Linked DNA regions of Coturnix japonica. Each later gene encodes a partner of the first gene's protein in a complex. Links are inferred from orthologs where the notes say so. Each region holds a gene or a part of one and is shown on either strand. Other genes may lie near its edges. The genes, in order: PLXNA2 and SEMA6A.

Evidence for each region.
Region 2: the proteins of PLXNA2 (region 1) and SEMA6A are in contact, whole or in part, in a crystal structure (PDB 3AL8), measured with the Mus musculus proteins. The link is inferred for Coturnix japonica from reciprocal best matches to the Homo sapiens genes PLXNA2 and SEMA6A. Residues at the interface, in NP_032908.2 of Mus musculus: Ala93, Cys94, Tyr95, Pro96, Lys155, Gln192, Asp193, Tyr194, Asp220, Phe221, Val222, Pro229, Ser230, Asp231, Leu386, Lys389, Val391, Thr394, Lys395, Ala396, Pro397, Val398, Leu407, Asp408, Ile409, Asn410, Gln411; in NP_061214.2 of Mus musculus: Arg108, Met109, Lys110, Gly111, Met162, Ala163, Thr188, Phe190, Leu191, Ile193, Tyr198, Thr206, Arg208, His212, Asp213, Ser214, Glu219, Gln266, Arg267, Glu270, Lys271, Lys393.

The regions. Positions count from the first base shown.
Region 1 is NC_029541.1:3,039,924-3,049,162, reverse strand, and holds part of PLXNA2 (plexin-A2), read left to right. Parts: intron 1-3,641; 5' UTR 3,642-3,687; coding exon 3,688-4,878; intron 4,879-5,653; coding exon 5,654-5,836; intron 5,837-9,239. UniProt on the Homo sapiens protein: Coreceptor for SEMA3A and SEMA6A. Necessary for signaling by SEMA6A and class 3 semaphorins and subsequent remodeling of the cytoskeleton. Plays a role in axon guidance, invasive growth and cell migration.
Region 2 is NC_029547.1:64,083,035-64,092,906, reverse strand, and holds the start of SEMA6A (semaphorin-6A), read right to left. Parts: upstream 6,529-9,872; 5' UTR 5,914-6,528; intron 1-5,913. UniProt on the Homo sapiens protein: Cell surface receptor for PLXNA2 that plays an important role in cell-cell signaling. Required for normal granule cell migration in the developing cerebellum.

The DNA.
Region 1 (9,239 bases):
CCTGGTTTACTTAGGTAACAGCACTGTGGCTACTGTGTAAATACATCTGGCTGCCCGGGGGGTGTGTGGGGATAACAAATGCTGCATTGGCACAGCCAGAGGAGCTCTGTTGCAGGATTTCTGTTTAATGGAGTGGCTGGGGACCCATTTAATGTGAAGCTGGGGCTCTCCATTTGCCTGTGGGGTACTTGGAGAGAGGCCAGCAGATGCTGCTGCCTGCTTTCCTCCTGCAGCTCAGTGACTTCACTGCTCGTGTTGTCGTGTTCCTATGGAACAAACCACAGCCAGAGGTCACCTGGGGGAGCAGCGGGCACTGACACCTTCTGTATCGCTTCAGGCAAAGCGTTTAAGCATTTGATCTGCTTTGCACTTAAGGTCACCCTCCATTAAATTCTGTTTTGTTGGGATTTAAGTCCCTTGAATAATCAAACAGAGTCTGAACTGAAAAGAGCTCTGAGATCTCTGACTCCAACCCCAGCAGTGCCCACTGAACGTGTCCTCATGTTCCAGACCTGCAGGGTGACCCCACCACTCAATGGCAGTTCTGTGTCAGTGCATCACCACTCTTTCAAGCAATCATTTTTTTTTCCTTATATCCAACCTGCCCTGGCACAACTTAAGGCCATTCCTTCTCATCCTGGAGGCAAGCGAGGGCTTACCCTGTGGTTGGAGATAGCTGTGCCCGTGTTTGCTTGTCACTGTTGTCAGGGGAGAGCGGCTGTGCTCTGCTGAACAATCTCTGCTCAGTTCACGGACACAGACACAGAGAGGGGGATCGAAGCACTAACACAGCCCCTTATATACACTTTACTGCAGTGGTTTGTGCTTGGTGACTCCCCTTTGATAGCAGAGCATTTCCTTTGATTGAACATGAGTGCCTCTTGTGCGGGAGCACCATTCGCAGCCTGAGAGGGAAGCAGAGTGCTCAGAGTACCATGTTCAGGGCCAGGCAATGAGGCTGGGATAAGCCAGGGATGCTGCCAGCCCAGCTCTATGCTACTCTGCTTCTCCTCACCCCAGCACCGCTAGGATGCACACTCAGGATTGAGGCTGGGGGGGGGGGGAAGAGGTGGCTCATCCGGTATGTATTGTGTAAACAAGATCCCATGTCTGGACAATATGACTGAATTGGGTGCATAATTCATGCAATCGTGTTTGTTATCAGGGAAATGCCTTTTCACGGCTGGGTTTTGCTTTTCCCCTCCTCTTCCTTGTCCCAGGGCTGGAGGAAGCAATAAGCACAATGCTATGCTTTGCCCTCTTAACTCTTTCCCTGCACCTATGGGGGTGCTGTGAGCATTGGGGCTGCAGCTCAGTATCTTTCAGCCCTGCTGTTTTGCTATCTCATGTTAGGGGACACTGTGTGGATAGCAGGGCTGTCCCTCCTGTCCCAGCCATTCCGGAGCTGTCTGCCTGCTTTTAGTGTTGGTGGGGTCAGAACCTTCTATAAGCAAACAAAAAGGCTGTAGGAGCCATCATCCCTGCTTTGTGTTAGGAAAATGTAATTACTTCACATCAAACTGTTCGGTCATTGCAGGCTGGTGTCAAGCAAACAAATGATTGAGTGCCGCCTGGGCTGAAAGTGCAGGGGGCTGCTGCACCAAATGTCCTGAATATTGGGTCTTCACAGGACATAAATCACTGCAACAGCTTCAATGGTTGGAAACGTTTCCCAGGAACATTCCTGGTCGGCTCCAGGAGGGCTGAGAGGAGCCGTGTGTGTGCTCTCACTTGGCACAAAATGGGCAAACTCCACTTTTCTTCTCTCTTTTCTTCTCTGGAAGGCAGAGATAGATGGAGCCCATGCGAAGAGAGAGGGGCAGCTGGTGGCCCAACACCGTGTGGGAGGGCAGCTGCTGCACTCATAGCATCAAAAATGTTCCTTTGAGCCCTCATTTTCCATAAGAGAATCTCATTTTTGCTTTAATTCCTCCCCTTTTCTTTCCCCCCCCTTTTTCGTGTGGCATAAAATGCCACAAATGACAAAGCGTGGTGCTGCAGTTGAGTGACAGCTGCAATAAGCAGAGCGCTGCTGCACTGAGATGGAGTGAGCCGGGATCCTTCCCCCCTCAATGGGAACCGTGGCCATTTGAATAATAATATTATGGCCTCCATTAGGAAGACAGTGGGGGAAAAAAAGCCAGCTCAGACCTGTGATTATTCCTTCAATCTAATAATTATTTAAATACCCGATAACTCCTTTCAGCCTAATTGAGGCCTTTCAGCTGCTTGGGTTTATGTTGTGGCCCTGAATTTACTCTTTTATTGTTTAGTTTTTCTTTTTTTACCTTGTGTTACTAATAGCTTCAGATTGCCCTTAAAGCTGTGTTTTAAACTCACTTCCAAGGGAAAAAGAAAAACCAACCCAATACTTCAGCAGAAATTAGTTGTGTTGTGCATTGAGCCCCCGTGCATCCCAGAACCCCATAAGCCAGAACCTGCTGCCCTGAGCACCCCACCATCAGAGCACAGTGCTCTCTGAGCTGGCAGAGGGGAACTGCTGCCTGCCAGAGGTGAAAATGAAGCTGGAAACCAGAAGCAGCAGCTGAGGAAACGTATCCCTGAGCAGAATGAGGAACCCATTATCGTGCTCCTGCGCTGTCTTGTCAGTGACACAGAGACATGCAGCCCTGGGAGAGCTCCTTTGTCACCTCTCACAACACCCATCTCCAGCTCCCGGCATTAACAAGCCTAAAGAGCAGCCGCTTGCTGACACCCGCTTATGAGCGTGGTGTAGGTTTCCAGCGGTATGAATTGTTTTAAATACCAAATCTGAGATCAGCATCAATCAGAGCAGAAGCTCTGACAGCTGCATGGGGCCGGGAGGAGCCCTTGTCCTGCAGGATAGGTGCCAGCATGGACACGGTGCTGTGCTGTGCTATAAATCACAAGTCTTTGCCTGGTCTATGTGTGATGGAGGAAGGTGGATCATCATCTTCCTCATCCCAGGGTGGTGCGACCCCATAATGATGTGGGATGAGGGAGAATATCAGCCAATGGGACAGTATGGGATGGTTCCTGGAGTTGTCCAACATGGAGTGTGGAAGAAGCACAGCATTTGGGTTAAAAGCACAAGTTGGGGTCGGCAGCAGGTCTGGAGGTGTGAGAAGGCGTTGGTGCCACCTGCATGGGCACTGCTGGCTCAGGGCAGAGGTGATGGGGGCTGTTGGGTCTTTGGGGTGCATCCTTAGTGCACTTTTGCCCACATGAGACTTCTTCCTCAGTCTCTCACATTAAATCATAGAGGTCCTAAAGGCAGAAAACACCTCTTATTTCCTGTGTTGCTTCCAGCAACATTCCCTGCAGGAGGCATCCTTTTAGCCAAGCCTGCAGATTGATGGTTGTATGGGAACTGCAGGCTTTGTCTTGGCCGGGAGCTGATTATCCCCTCCCATGGCAGAGTGGAGCACATTATAACAACCAAACACCGAATGCATTAACACACAGGGGCTGAACCAAGTGGCACAACCTCAAACCTGAACAGTTTGCCAATAAGTTAGGAGACCTGCTTAATTCTTGTTAGGCTTAGGGATGTCCTCGCTTTATCTCAAGGACTCTGTAATTAGAAAGTGTAATTTGAATGGTATCTGCAGGCACACCGGGTCTAATCCTTTGCTCTGTGCCTTTCTTCTCTCCTCCAGAACCATGTGAGGGACGTTGCTGGGGCACAGGTCGGCCATTCCCAGGATGGATCGGAGGAGGACCTGCCCTTGGGTGCTGCGCTCTGATAGTGATGGCAGGTCAGCATCTCTTCTCTGCCTCCTCCTGGCATGGCTCTCCTGGAGCGCATCCGGCAGTGCCTCATTCAGCACTTTCCATTCTGAGCACCGGGACTGGACTTTCAACCACTTGACCGTCCACCAAAGCACCGGAGCGGTTTATGTCGGAGCCATCAATAGGGTTTACAAGCTTTCAGGTAACTTGACCATTTTAGTGGCTCACAAAACCGGTCCCGAGGAGGACAACAAATCCTGCTACCCTCCCCTCATCGTGCAGCCCTGCAGCGAGGTGCTGACCCTCACCAATAATGTCAACAAGCTGCTGATCATTGACTACTCCGAGAACCGGCTGCTGGCCTGTGGCAGCCTGTACCAGGGGGTGTGCAAACTGCTGCGCCTGGATGACCTGTTCATCCTGGTGGAGCCCTCGCACAAGAAGGAGCACTACCTGTCCAGTGTCAATAAGACAGGCACCATGTACGGCGTCATCGTGCGCTCCGAGGGTGAGGATGGGAAGCTCTTCATTGGCACAGCAGTGGATGGGAAGCAGGATTATTTCCCCACTCTCTCCAGCCGAAAGCTTCCCCGCGACCCAGAGTCATCGGCGATGTTGGATTATGAGCTTCACAGTGACTTTGTCTCGTCCCTCATCAAAATCCCCTCAGACACCTTGGCTCTCATTTCTCACTTTGATATCTTCTACATCTACGGCTTTGCCAGTGGCAACTTCGTGTATTTTTTGACTGTCCAACCAGAGACCCCAGAGGGCGTCTCCAACTCTGCCAGTGACCTCTTCTATACATCCCGCATCGTCCGGCTCTGCAAAGATGACCCCAAGTTCCACTCCTATGTCTCTCTTCCCTTTGGCTGCGTCAGGGGGGACACGGAGTATCGCCTGCTGCAGGCAGCCTATCTGTCAAAGCCAGGGGATGTGCTGGCCAAATCCCTCAATATCACAGCCCAGGAGGATGTCCTCTTTGCCATTTTCTCCAAGGGACAGAAGCAATACCACCAGCCTCCGGATGATTCTGCACTCTGTGTCTTCCCAATTCGTGCTGTCAATGCCCAGATCAAGGACCGGCTGCAGTCTTGCTACCAAGGGGAGGGCAACCTGGAGCTCAACTGGCTGCTGGGGAAGGATGTCCAGTGCACCAAAGCGGTGAGTTGGTTGTCATAGCCTTTGTTTTTAATGTGTGGCCCTAAGTTACAGAACAGAATCAATATTTCCGTGCCTCAGTTCCCCTAAATATGGAATGGATGTAGTAGTCCTTTTCTTCCTTAATCCCTATTGTTTTCAGACAATCAGTGATGGTAGTGAAAGGAGGGACAGCACTGAGGCAGGTGGATAAAGATGAAGGTGTGCTGCTTGTTGGCAGTGTTTGCTGTTCCCAACCTCAGGCTCTCACCTTTCCCACAGCAAGAGGCTGGTATCAGCAAACTAACAAGATAAACACAAATGACAGTTGCATCTTTCGTGGTTTTATTCAGATGATTTCTCTAATCTTGATTCAGATGCAGATTGTTCTAGGGCTGACTTGAGAATCCCCGGGGCCTTCTTTTGCCAAGCATATTAAGTTTGGCTGCTGGGAGGAGATGAACGTGGGTTAAATGAAATGAAAAAAGGAAAGTGAGAATGCTTGCACATGGGAGAGCCATCCCTTCACAGTTGTGTCTAAGTGTTTGGCAGTTCCTGAATGTCCCTTATGGAAAATAAGCAAGAGAACTGCAGTCAGTGTGATGGTGCAGCCCCATGGCACCACCATAAAAACCAGGGTCTGCAGCTGGGTCAACCCCTACAGACCTCACATCCATGCAGACTCCATGTCCCTACCAGCCCCATGTCCCCAGTCTCCTTGGCTCTCCTGTGCAATGAAATTAGGGCTGCCTCCTGCTTTGTATTTCACTCATGGTTGCCTCAAATCTCCTCTTTCCAGCCTGTTCCAATTGATGACAACTTCTGTGGGCTCGACATCAACCAGCCCCTGGGTGGCTCAGTGCCAGTGGATGGTGTGACACTCTTCACCTCCAGCCGGGACAGGATGACTTCTGTAGCTTCATACATCTACAATGGCTACAGCGTGGTGTTTGTGGGGACTAAAAATGGCAAAGTGAAGAAGGTAAGAGAATTTCTGTGGCTTTGGGGAGGCGGGATCCGTTTCTTGTCAGTGTTACGGCCCATTGTGGTTTGGTTTGGTTTTTCATTTCATCATTCAATGAGCCGTGGTGTATCTGTGGGGCTGTTGAAGAAGTTATTGGAGCAATAACAGGCTGACGTGGTTGGAGGCAAAAAGATCTGGTGGACAGTTTGTGAGTTGAAGTGACCATCAGCGAACCATGGCAGGGGGTCTCAGAGATGTCCTTTTGTTTGTGAAGGTTTAATGGAAGTCTTGCAGCAGGTTTGAGTTGTTTCGCAATAATCCTTCTGCCGTTGGTGTGGTAGACTGAGCTTCAGAGGCTTTTGAGTTTCCTTTTGTGCTGGCAATATTTGGTGGTGGTGGCAGAATGTTGAATCAGCGAGTGGGTTGACTTGGCTGCTTTTGGAAACCAAGCTTCAGGGCAAAGCCTTCTTCCTTATCCTTCTCTCCCCAAGACAGCTGGATGATGGATCCCTGGTAGATAACATTCCTCACCCTTTGCATCACAAAAGCTGGGGCTCTTGCCCAGGGCTAAGAAAACCTCCATGTTGCTTTTCTCTCCCAGCAGTGAGAGCTGGGGGCTTCTGAGTGGGCTCTGGGGGTCCAACCACCAGTCTGCTTCCTTCAGATGAACCTGAGATGTCAATGACATCATTTGGTGAACCTGCTAAATGCAGACCCTGCTTCTCTAAGCCAGGGAAAGAGTTAACAAATGTAATCAACAGCAGGTTGTTAATTTTTTGTGTCCTTAAACAGCAGGGAATTTCTTCCTCATCTATCCAGGAAGATACAAGGACAGGCAGATACTACACTTGAATGTCTGCATCATTTTAATTACATCAGTTCATTAATATTCATTCAGCACTTTACAAGTGCTGAGCAGCAGTAAATTAGGAGTCTCCCTGGTGCCTCTCAGTGCAGTGAGGAAATCTGGAGCATGGGGGCATGAGCAGAACCCTTCTTTCCCTGCCCAACCTGGTGCTGTGTGGGACATGGGGCTCATCCTGGTGTGGGTGGAGAAAGAAATCATCAGCATATTGCAAATAATGCATCTGCTTGAGGTTCCAGCAAGCCACGTTGGCCACTGGGTGGTTTCTAGTTGTTGGATATTTGCTGACCATTGTTGAGTGGTTGCTTGCCATGGCTGGGTGGTTGTTGGCCATTGTTGGGTGGTTGTTGGCCATTGTTGGGTGGTTGTTGTTGGCTGGTTGTTGGGTGGTTGTTGGTTATTGTTGGGTGGTTGTTGGCCATTGTTGGGTGGTTGTTGGCCATTGGTTGGTTGTTGGCCATTGCTGGCTGGTTGTTGGCCATTGTTGGGTGGTTGTTGGCCATTGTTGGGTGGTTGTTGGCTGTTGTTGGGTGGTTGTTGGGTGGTTGTTGGGTGGTTGTTCGCCATTGTTGGGTGGTTGTTGGCCATTGTTGGGTGGTTGTTGGCTATTGTTGGGTGGTTGTTGGCCATTGTTGGGTGGTTGTTGGCCTTTGCTGGGTGGTTGTTGGCTATGGTTGGAGTGTTTGTTGGCCATTGTTGGGTTGGGTGCTGTCCATTTGGTGTTTTGGGAAGCAGGGGAGCTGCTTTGTGTGTAGGGAGTTAAAGCGAACAGCTTGTGCCTGCACACCAGGCATTTACTGTAGTGTGGCATTAATTATGTAGGATTACAGAAGAAGCATTTTCTCCGGCACAGTTAATTCCTTGTAGTTGTCTGCATTGAAGCCCCACTCAAACATCCACCTTTTGATGCTGGTTAGTTTATTCATGCCCATCCACTTTACTCCTGTGGGCAGGAGGGGAGCTGAGGAGCAATGCAGGAATAATCCAAGCTTTGCCTGTGGTTTGAGCCAGTGGTAAACAGGTACTGAAAAACTGAACTTAAGTCTCCAGCGAGTCCCTTCCAGTCATTCATTACAGTCAGCCCTTAGTGGCATATATTAAGAGCCCTTCTCCACACATCAGCTGCTGGGACCCTGCTGTATCCAGAGCTGGAGCCCTGTCTTATGCTGCTTGGGGCTGGGGATGTTCTGGGCTGGACCTCTGGTAAATCTATTCCTTTTTGACATATGGGGTTATCTTTATGTATGAAGTGTGGGAAGTGGCTTTGCCTCTAACAGTGCCACAGTGGAGGTGTTTTGGATCCAGAGATGTTGCTTGGTTGTCTGCAAGGCTGAGCGTGGTCCCAGAGCTGGCGCATCACTCAATGTTACGAGGGCTATGAAAGCTTCTGTCTCTCTCCTTCCCCACATGTGAAATGAGGACAGTAAAGATGTGCACCTCTGTAAGTGCCAGAGATTCCCAGATAAACGCCTCCTCTCCTCATCTCACTGCCCTGACTATCTACCTACGCACCGAACGCTGAACGCTGCTCGCATCTATTCCCTCTCCCACAGTTGTTGATTTACTTTGGAAGCAAGCTGGTGGCTCAGCCTGGGATTTCAAAGAAGAGGCTTTTATGTAGCTGCAGGGAAGAAGTCAGGGAGCCAGCTCTGAAATCTTTCAGCTTTGCCTGTGAGAGTTCATTACCGAAAATATCCCCTTATCTCACTGATGTCCTTCCCATCAGCCATTCTAATGGGCTGCTGCAGCCTGTCCTCCCAAGGAGCTGGATGCTGAAGGTCTCTGCCAACCCAGGGCCACTTCACTCCAGGCTCTGTCCCTTCCCTTTGTCCCACTGTCCCTCTACAGTCCCTCTCCCAACCAGCCCAGGGCTATACCTGAGCTGTGGACTATCAGCAGCTCATACCACGTGGAATGGTGCATGCACCCCTCTGCCCTTTGTTGCTGCCTAAGGGATAGGGATGAGTCGATGGATCCATTCTGCATGGAAACCCTTTGCTATAGGAGGGATGTTCTCATGCAACACTGGCTCAGCCATCCCGACTGCCTTGGGTAGGGGATGCTTGGTGCTGTCAGGGGCTGCACCTGTAGGCATGTCCCCACAGTACATGGGATGTGATAGAGCAGCCCTGCTCCATGGCAGCTCTCTGGCTTTGGGAACTGCTGCAAATTACTGCAGCAGTTATCTGTAAGTGGTGAAAAGCCAATGTGCTGATAATGCTGTGACCTTCGGATAAGGTGGGTACGTGCGGTCCTGTTCTCTGCAGCCTGGAGGTCTGGTTCTCCTGCAAGGTCTCAGCATCCTGACTGGGCTAAACGGTATCATATCGAGACATAAGTGCTCAGTTAATGAACTGCAATAACGCAGTTTTCATGGAGGAAAATTAAAGGAGACATTAATACAACAGTGAACAGCAACTGAGTGCTGGGGGGAGATGTGTCGGCTTGCTTGTTCTGTTTACGGGCTTCATACAATTCCATCAATATTGATGTGTGATGCCTTTGATTTTGACACTAATCATTGCTACGAATTAAATTTGCAGCCATATAATTAGG
Region 2 (9,872 bases), on another chromosome or scaffold:
ACATGTCAGTGAACGACTGCCCCCAGTGCAAGCAATGGGTCAGTGTCCATCAGCAACAGTGAAGGAACCAACACAGCACATTTCCAGCAGACTATCAAAGTCGTATGTAAAAATGCTCAAAGTATAGAACATACAGAACACCTGAGTGAAGGTGAGCAGACGGAGATCAAGCAGAAATAACATCTGCTGCAGTCAGGAATACATTTGGACACTGTTTTTCCCATTGTGTTGGAGATTCATGTAAGAGCATATATTCCCCATCTGCTGAGCCAGAATCCCCTACTACATCTATTACGTTATCTATGCATTTTCATTACTAGAAGGCCCCATGAGTCTGTCGGGGTCATGGCAAAACTGGTGAGAGGTTAGGAATAGCTTTTTTAGAAGCAGATAATCAAACTCCCACTATTATCTACAGGAAAAAAATAAAAAATAAAATAAATAAATCACTATTATACTCCCCATCCACTAGATGGTCTCAGATTAAGGCGAAATGATGTAATAAGAACATCCTTTATTTCCAATTGCATCAACATTAAGTTTCCACATAAAGGCTACTGAGATGAGAGAAGCAGAGGAATACATTTTTTGCCCTTATCACTAAGGGTACGACCCTGCAGCCAAGGCATGGTTTCACTAGGGGAGGGAGGGAGGGATACAAGAAGCATGCAATGCTGGGCACCTGCCCTGGAGGTGCTTACCTTCCGTATGCCATGAATACGCCATGAAAGGTGTAAAACTGCTTCTGTGTGAAGACCCTCATTTGCACTTCACAGTGGTTAAAAAGAAAAAAGCATGGGGTAGCCCGCAACATATGAATTTCAAGGGTCTGTCATAAATACTGTACACAGAAATGTCTTTTATCGACAATACTTTTAAAGAGAAGGTCATTGCAGAATGCAGCGAGTTACCATATGTCTTCACTCCAGAGATACATCAACTGGCAGTTCTGCTAATAGCTAGTTTATCTTCTTCATTTTACATCTCTGTTTCAGCCAGTACAGAAACACTTTGGGGACTGAGGGAAAATTCCTTCCAGGCAGAAATGGTTCTGTATTCACACAGAGTATAACACACCTCTTTTCCTTACTGATAAATAACTACAGTTCCACACTGGGAAAGAGTTAACTATCAGGAGCATTTTTTACTAGTGAATTATGAGATGTCTCATGGTGGTTTGTTTTTTGTTCTTTTTTTACAGATTTTCTTCATCATTTTTAGAAGCTATTTTGCAAAAGATGGAATCTTGCTTTTTTCTTTTTTAACTACTACAGTGGACCTAAACTTTAGATTCCACAGGACATAAATCTGGCAGCTTCGTGTACGTTCTCCTGGCTCATGAAAGCTGAGAATATGATAAATTCATGGGGGGTGGCTTAGAACTCCAACCCTCTCCCCTATTTCTTGTGCCCCCACCATTAACTGGCTGCAGCTTTAATAAGTCTTAAGTGACAAAAATAGCAAATACAGCTATGCATGTCTTTCAATAAACCATTTCCAAGACTTTCTGAATACTCTGATGTTACAAGATACTCTATTTTTTTTTCTCCAGTTCCCATATCACTGTGAATTTTGAAACTTTTCCTACCCAGTTGCTAAAATAGGAGTGGCAAGTGGGCACCTTAGGGACTCCAGGGGACATGCAGGACATGCAATATGTATAATTGCAACACAGTAGGTGGCACTCTTCCCTTTAAATCCTAAAGCAGTGTTTGAGCTGTGCTGCCATACTTGTCACATTACAGGCAAGACCCAAGCTCAAAGACTCATTTTCTGAGACCAGTTAAACAACCCTCTACACTGTATAAATGCTAACATTCAGCTATTTTCATGGCTTCATTCTCTCAGAAGACAGCATACAGAGGGAATAAAGACTCCAGACTGTCCAGTTTGCACTTCAACCAGGACACGCACTTCTGCCTTTGCAGAGCCTGTCCAAGCTCTTTCCTTACTGATGGATGCAACAGGCTCAAAATGAACACATTCATATGTAGAGGTTTTATACTCAGGCCTGAGTTTTCTCTCAGCTGCTTATTTTTGCCACTAAAGCCTGTTTCTGGTTGCTCTATGTTGCAGGACCTGATACCACTGCTGGATCTCTTTACTACCTACCACCCCACTCCTCACCTACCTCAGGGTAGTCTGATGCACAGAATTTATAGTGCAGAAGAAAGCATTGCTTACTACTCTCTTTCTTCTCTTTCCCAGCCCAGACAAGGCTTGCCACAGTCTGCTGTAGGTCTGTGTTAAATGCTGATTGCTCCAGAAGATGTGGACAGAAGTCTGCCTGAATAATGAAGGTTGATTCACAGCAAAAGGACCACGGTTGCACGTCCTCATCAAGCATAGATTCCCACCAGAAAGCAGGGGGAACCACGCTATGGAAGAATGGCCCTAATTGACTAATATTTCAGCAACTGCCTTTATTTTCATCCAATTACTCCAACAAGCAGAGCAGAGCTGGGCAAGCAAGACTGGAAAGGACAAGAGCTAAAGATCTACCTCCTTAATAAATGAATAGTAGGAGGTAAAATACTGCAGCATCTGTATCAAATTAAGATAGTGAAAACTTCTGTTCTAGTATAGTTCAACTTTACTCTAGCATATTCTGTGCCTAAAAGAATAGATATTTATGTAGCAGAATTTACCACGTTGTTTCTTTTCAGTGCTCTGGTAATAGTGCATGGGAATCAGATACAAAGCATTTGACCGAGAAGTGTAACAATGCGTCCTTGCAAACAAGTTGGATGCAAGACATACATTAGCTCAGGTCAATTTAATCCGAAAACATTTTATGTCTCTCCTGCTGCAAACCATGTGAACTCTTTTCATGCGTATTTATGTATGGCTCTTCAAAACAAGATGACAAGTTTCCCCTTCCCTTCACAAAACACGCACAAGCAAGTTCACAATAACCTACTTCCTTTTCAATGCAAACAGTTCTATTCTGGATTTAACACAGGTCATTAATCTGATCCTTCTGATTTCCCTTTTTCTCTCACTCTTACCCCACCTCCCCCCTTCCCTCCAAAATAATAATAATAATAAATGAGCAAGGACAACACCTTCTCCCAAACCTGACCTACCTCCTTCCTCACGCTGAACAGCAATAACTGCATGCCCTAATTTGCAAACATTACAAGGAGACTATGGTTGATACTCACTTCCATCTTCAAGCAGCTGGAGATGATAGATCAACATATTTCTTGCAGACATTAGCACCCAACTATTTTTTTGTTTTGTTTTGTTCAAGAATGACAAGTTTATCTCATAAGGTTGGCTTTGCCACTGGAAGTCAGAGTAACAGTTTTGATGTAGGCTAATTCAGAATACAAAGAACATCTGCGACCATATGATTCGTTTTCCTTTTAAGTACTCATCCATGCTTCAAGCACTTGATTCCCACTACAGGAAAAGCAAACAGTGCAATTATACTTTATGGTATTAATTGCTATTTTAAAATTCATTTTGCATTCAGGCAGAAACTTCTTCTGGGCATTCCACTCCTGAGATAAAATTACTTCAAAGACAGAGATTTTATTCAGTGAAGAGTGGGAGAGAACCAAGATCAACATTTTTATGCATAGGAAATTGTTTGGCTTTAAAGAGAGTTAGTGTATTTTCTCTTTGCATTATATCTTTGGATAAGCTACCACATGAAAAACAGGATCCTTTCAGACAAAATTATACCCTAGACATTGAAACATTCTGGCAACTGCACTTTTTTGAGGCAAACCTTCCCAATCTTACTGACTCTACAACATTTCCTTTCAGTACTCCACATGAGGCAATTCCATGAAAGAAAGGGTTTGCTGTAGGAAACCCACTTTTCCCCACAACACACTAGATCAATCTCATCAAAAACAAACAGAAAACCCAACAAAGTTAACCAGAGCACAGTCAGCTTGCAGAAAACAAATGGCAAAGCAAGCCCTGAACATTACAGTGGCTGCATAAATCCTATTCTCAGAGAGCTGCCACAGACTTGTCAGAATCTCCACAAGTTTTGTGATAGAGCCTCGCTCAGCTGGACTTCCTCACGCTGATTTACCCGGCAAGTAAAGCTTACTGACATGAGAACACTGAATCGCACACAGACAGTGTTTGCCAAGACAGCATAGCAAGGGGCATGATTTCCCCACTGTCATCGAGGTTAGCTTAATAATTAATACAGGTGCCAGATGATACTGAACAAAAGTTAGCCCAACCTACGACAGTTAGCCACTGCACACAGCTCTGTGGCAGAAAATGGTCGTGGAGATTCAGCTCTTCACTATTTACTACTACGCACAGCCCATGCGTCCACCCCTTTGGAGGACCAAGTGTTCCTGTAGCGAAGCCTAGAATTAACGTGTTTTACCACGGGCCACTTCAAGCCTTTGCTTCTGCAGGTCTATTAGTCGAACAATTTCCCGTCCACAACTACCAAAGATGTGTGCTGCACAGACCTCGGGCACACGAGCACAGGTTTACAAACTTCCAAAGCAGCAATTTGCTTAAAGAGTGGAAGGAGAGCAAATTTCCCTCCGAACAAGCGGTCGCTGTTGGCAAAGACACAGACAGCCGTCCGCGGAGCTCAGCCCGGCACTCACCCGGCCAGGGGCTGCCAGGACATCGCAGTGCCAGCGGACAGAACGACATCGCCTCCGCGACGGTCCGCGCTCGCAACGCTCCCCCGCCTGCAGCCACCCCAGGAAGCGCCTCCCTCGGGCAGGAGGGGCGGAGGGACGGCCGAGCTCTTGCAGGTACTTTCTCCGTCGCGAAGCAAAGCCAAACTTTCTGCCACCCTCCCCGGGGACGCCGGCAGGACCCGGGGCAGCGCTGACCCCCTGCCTCATTCCGGGCAGCACGGGTCGGGGGAGCGGTGTGTTCCTAGCACGCCTCGCCCGCAGTCCCTACACGGGCTGGGCTGAGGGTAACTAAACCGTCTTCTCTTCAACAGCGGCACGAAGCTGCCCGCTGCCGGCCGCTCGGAGCCGCCTGCCCAGCTCCGAGAGGGGCTGCAGCAGCTCCTTCGTGCCGGATTGCCCCGCTCTTCCCCCTAGAAAAACTTTCTCCGCCGTTTCTCGGCTCCCCGGGCAGGAGAGCGAGCGAAGAGCAGAGCCCTCACCCTGCCGAGAAGGGGGCGGGGAAGGGGCCCTGCCCGGGAGCCTCTCTTCTCCCTGCCGCGGCAGCCGAGCAGCCCGCAGCCCCTCTGCGGGGACAGAGGTCGGTGCGGCGGGGAGGGGAGCCCACGGCCTCAGCCCACCCTCGCGAACAAAGCCGCTGTAGCACCCGGGGAAACCGAAGTTTTCTCGGTTGCCGGCCTCTTCTTTCAGCCTTGAAAATTTAATAAAATAAAATAATGCCAACAAACAAAAACCCCAATCCCGAAACACACCTCCAAGCCCACCAAAATAGAAGACACCACCACAATCCCGCACTTGAGAGAGGAAACCGTGGGTTACGCCTCTGCACGAAGCTCCCGCACTGTGCCTGTAACAAAGACCCCGGCAGCTCACAGCCCCGCGCGGTGACCGCGGGCAGCGCTGATCCGGCCCCGCACGAAACCCCCCGCAGCAGCGGGCAGGGAGCGGGGCTGGGAGACGGGAGAATGCGGACAGGAGCTCGAGCACCGTGCATGCAAACGGTGCCGGTGGGCCGGGGAGCGCCGGCGCGTTCAGCAGCCTGGGGGCGGGGGAGAGGAAAAGAGGAAAAAAGGAAAAGAGAGACGAAGCCACGAGATGCCTGGAAAGTGGCAGCGGCGAGCACAACGCGTGCGCTTGCGGGCAGCTCCTCGCTTAATGCCATCGGCGCTGCCGAAGCAGCCGCAGCCGCCGCCCGCCGTCCCCACCGCTCTCGACCGGCCGGGCGAGGCGGGTGCCTTCCTTCCACGCAACCCAACACATCGGATACGGACGGGGAGTACTGTACCTTTTCGGTGCATCTATCTGGGCAGCTAGAGGACAGAACTAGCTGATGGTGTGTCCCATTTAGTAATCCATTTAAGGGGATCTCTCTGGGAAACTGGAGCCACTCTCTCCTTTGCAATCCTTTGTCATTACTACATATGTGCTTCCCAGGGGATGGAATATTTTAATATTTCTACTTTCTGAATTGCAAGTGCAATTTGTTCATTTCCAATGACGGAAAAAAAAAAAAAGAAAAAAGAAAAAGAAAAAAAAAAAGAGGGAATAGGAGTGAAAAAATATATATGTATATCAAAAAAAGAAAAAGAAAAAAAGAAGAAGAAGAAAAAAAAAAGCGTTCGCAACTCCTCTCCGAACCCAAATTCCACTACGATTCCACTCCAGTAAGTCCCCTTCAGCCGTGCCTCGGGAGGTAAGTCATTGCGGGGTCTTGTCCTGCTCCCCTTCTACCAAAAGTGCTCCCGGTGCTAAAGCTGCTCCAGGAAAACTCCGAGGCTGTGCGGCGCTCGCCGTGCCGCGGCAAGAAGGCGCAGTCGCTGCTCGCCCCAGGCTGTCGGGCATTGGACTGGAAGCCTCTCGCCCGCCGCCGCTGCCCTGCCTCCGCCCGGCTCCCACTCCCAACCCCTGGGACGCGGCTCCGGAGGCGGAGACAAAGCCCGGACTGGATCTCTCCGTGCGGCCGCGCCCCGCCCCGCCCCGCCCCGCAGGCACGTGCCCAGCCGTCCCGCCCCGCCGTGCTGCGGGCGGTGCCGCCGGAGGGGTGGATGCGGCGTTGAGCCCCGCGGGAGCGGAGTCCCCGTCGGCACCGTCGGCACCCGCCGCCGCCGCATGATCCACGCGCTGCGCCGCATCGCCGCCCCAGGGATGCCCGCGAGCGACCGGAGCATCTCGGCTTTGCGGTTCCGCGGGGTGCCGCCGGCACCCATCTCGGCCGTCTTCATCTCTTCCTTTTCCATCGTTCCTCCACCCAAATCTCGTCCCGGCGGCCGCTGGCTGCGTTAATCCCCGTCTCGGAGCCGATCCAGAGAGAGGCAGGAGAGAGCGGCGCTAATATGTTAATCCCCCACCCCAGCCCTGCGGTCGTGCACCCGGTCGGGTCGCTCCCGGCTGTCACGCTCGGGTGTGGATCCGACCCTCCGGCCCCTATCGCTGACCTCTGGGGGCTCCGGGTGCGGGGACAGACAGAGCCGTTCCTCAGCCGTAGCATGGGATTAACAGCGTTTTGTATCCTGTAGCTCTCACTAGAGTGAGGTTTGAGAGGAGAGTTTCCGTGTGGAGGTATCTGCTCCACAACAGGAGTCGCTTTACAAGTGCAATTGCTTCAACACGATATTTATTTATTTATCTATCTATCTATTTATTTATTTATTTCCCCTCCAAACCAGATAAGTGAAACGACGGGATAGAGCAAAGGGATTTACTGTCAGGCCACAAAGGGGTGTCATTAACATTAAAATAATTCCTTGTTTATGGCAGCTGTTTTTCCCTTGCCTTTTATTTTCAGATAATGAAAGGACTCTGAGACATTGGTTTCGGTTCAGTATTTGATTTGGGGTCTAAAATTACGCGTGTTCATTCAGTTTCTAGTTGGTAGATTACAAGGGAAAACATCCATCTGTGTTGGGGAAAAGTTTCTTCTTTCAGACAGTTTATACTGAATGTATACTTAGGATGATTTTCTAACTAAATGAACTAAGATTTCGTATATATTTTCTTCCTTGCCCTGAAAATCTGAAACAGAAGAGGGCTCTGCACTGAAGAGAGTAATTGCTGGTAAGAGATAAATTTTAGTTCAACAAACGTATGCTAGATCTGAAAGCAATTAGAGGAATTGGACTAGTACAAATAATTTCTGGGTACCCAACCATGTGTCAGAAGAATAAACCAGACTGAATGGACCTTGGTTTGCCAAGAGCCCTACCCCTTTATCTTCCCAGAGGAGGCTCTGGATCATCTCTTACTGCATCTCCCTGTGTCAGGAATTGAGAACAGAGATAACATAGTCTGGCTTTGTGGGAAGTTTCCATCATTATGCTATCCTCAACTGCTACATACATTTTGAGGTGCTCAGGACTTCCACTGACTTTGTTGTGGTTTAAACTGTAAGCAGATCTCAATCGAGCCCTACTCATGTGCTTCAAAAGTATTTCTGCAGTACTGAGCAGTTTGTTTTACACTTGGATTTCCTCATTAATCAGAAAGGCTCTCTAACAGAGAACATTTTTTCCCCCTATATTTATGGTTTTGAAAAACACGTGCCAGATTTTTAGTTTATGGAAGAAGCAGAAATCAGTGAAAAATCCCGTGTTCCATACCTTGGTATGAGCTACAGCACCGGTTGTGAGAAGTTTCTGTTGAGGTTTCTTTACAAAAGTGCTTTTCATTCATCCACTTTCTTTCCCTGTATTTAATTTCCAAGCCTGCACTGATTTATTTCATCATTTAAACACACACACTGCAACCGTTTTCACTTATCCTTCTGCCAGAACTTTTGTCAGCTCTCCTGTCCTTTATTCCCCTACTGCTCCTTCTGCTCTTAACTTACTCAAATAACTCTGCAAAATCAGATGAGTGTTATGGCTTAAAGAAACAACCCTCTTTTCTTTTACCTGTCTCCTCATCCCCTTTCGCTCTCTGTACCCAGAATGGTAAACTATTCTCCTCATGTTTTCTCCCCCACCAAGTCATATCGGGCTGTTTTTATGGAACAGTCTCAATTCTCCATGCTGTCAGATTTTCTGAAAACACAGCACAGCCTTATCTGTTTTTGCCTAGACTAGTTAAAAACTGTGAGCTATTCACACTGGCCTGAGGAAGGGAATTATTACTCTTACTTTTGGGAGCATATTTTTTCAGTGGCTGCTCTTTGGCAGCTGCACTGGTGGGTTTTCCAGTCTCCATCTGGTTAGGGATTCTTGGTGAGGTATCCATGGAGCTGTGCATTATCTGAAAGATTTGTGCAAGCTGCAGAGTTCTCCAGCTCCTCTTTGGACAGGATCTCTATCAAAGATTTAATTTGAGTTGATGTGAAAATATTACCTCTGCTTTTGCTTCCTAATCATAGAGTTATAGAATGGCTTAGGTTAGAAGGGATCTCAAGGATCATCAAGCTCCAACCTAATCACATAGAATACAAAGTTCTGGGCTGCATTAAAAATAGGAGTGGCCAACAGGGAGAGGGAGGTGATTGTCCCTCTCTACTCAGCTCTTGTGAGGCCCCATCTGCAGTGCTGCGTCCAGGCCTGGATGCTCTTGGAGCAGGTCTAGAGGAGTGACACTAAGATGGTCAGAGGGCTGGAGCACCTCTCCTGTGAGGAAAGGCTTAAGGAACTGAGATTGTTTAGCTTGGAGAAGAGAAGGCTCTGGGGAGACCTCATTGTGGCCTGTATGTACTTGAAGGGAGCATTTAAACAGGAGGGGGAACAGCTGTTTACGAGGGCAGATAGTGATAGGACAAGGGGGAATGGTTTAAAACTGAGACAGGGGAGGTTTGGGTTGGATCTTAGGAAGGGGGAATGGTTTTAAACTGAGACAGGGGAGGTTTGGGTTGGATCTTAGGAAGAAGTTTTTCACTTCTCAGTGGGTGGTGACGCACTGGAACATGCTGCCCAAGGAGGCTGTGGATGCCCCATCCCTGCAGGCATTCAAGGCCAGGCTGGATGTGGCTCTGGGCAGCCTGGGCTGGTGGTTGGTGACCCTGCACATAGCAGGGGTTGGAACTGGATGATCATTGTGGTGCTTTTCAACCCAGGCTATTCTGTGATTCATTCTATGATTCTATACATATGTTGACTTGATGTTGTTGGGATGCTCATACTGTGCTGGGGAAGGACACTTGAATCTCTTTGGTTGCTGGCAGCTACCTCATCTATCTGGCTTGTGTGAAGTTCAGTTCCAAGCAGTGCATGAGCCCCACGCTGAATATGCACTCATTTTCTTCTCTGTCATTTCTGTGGAAGTACT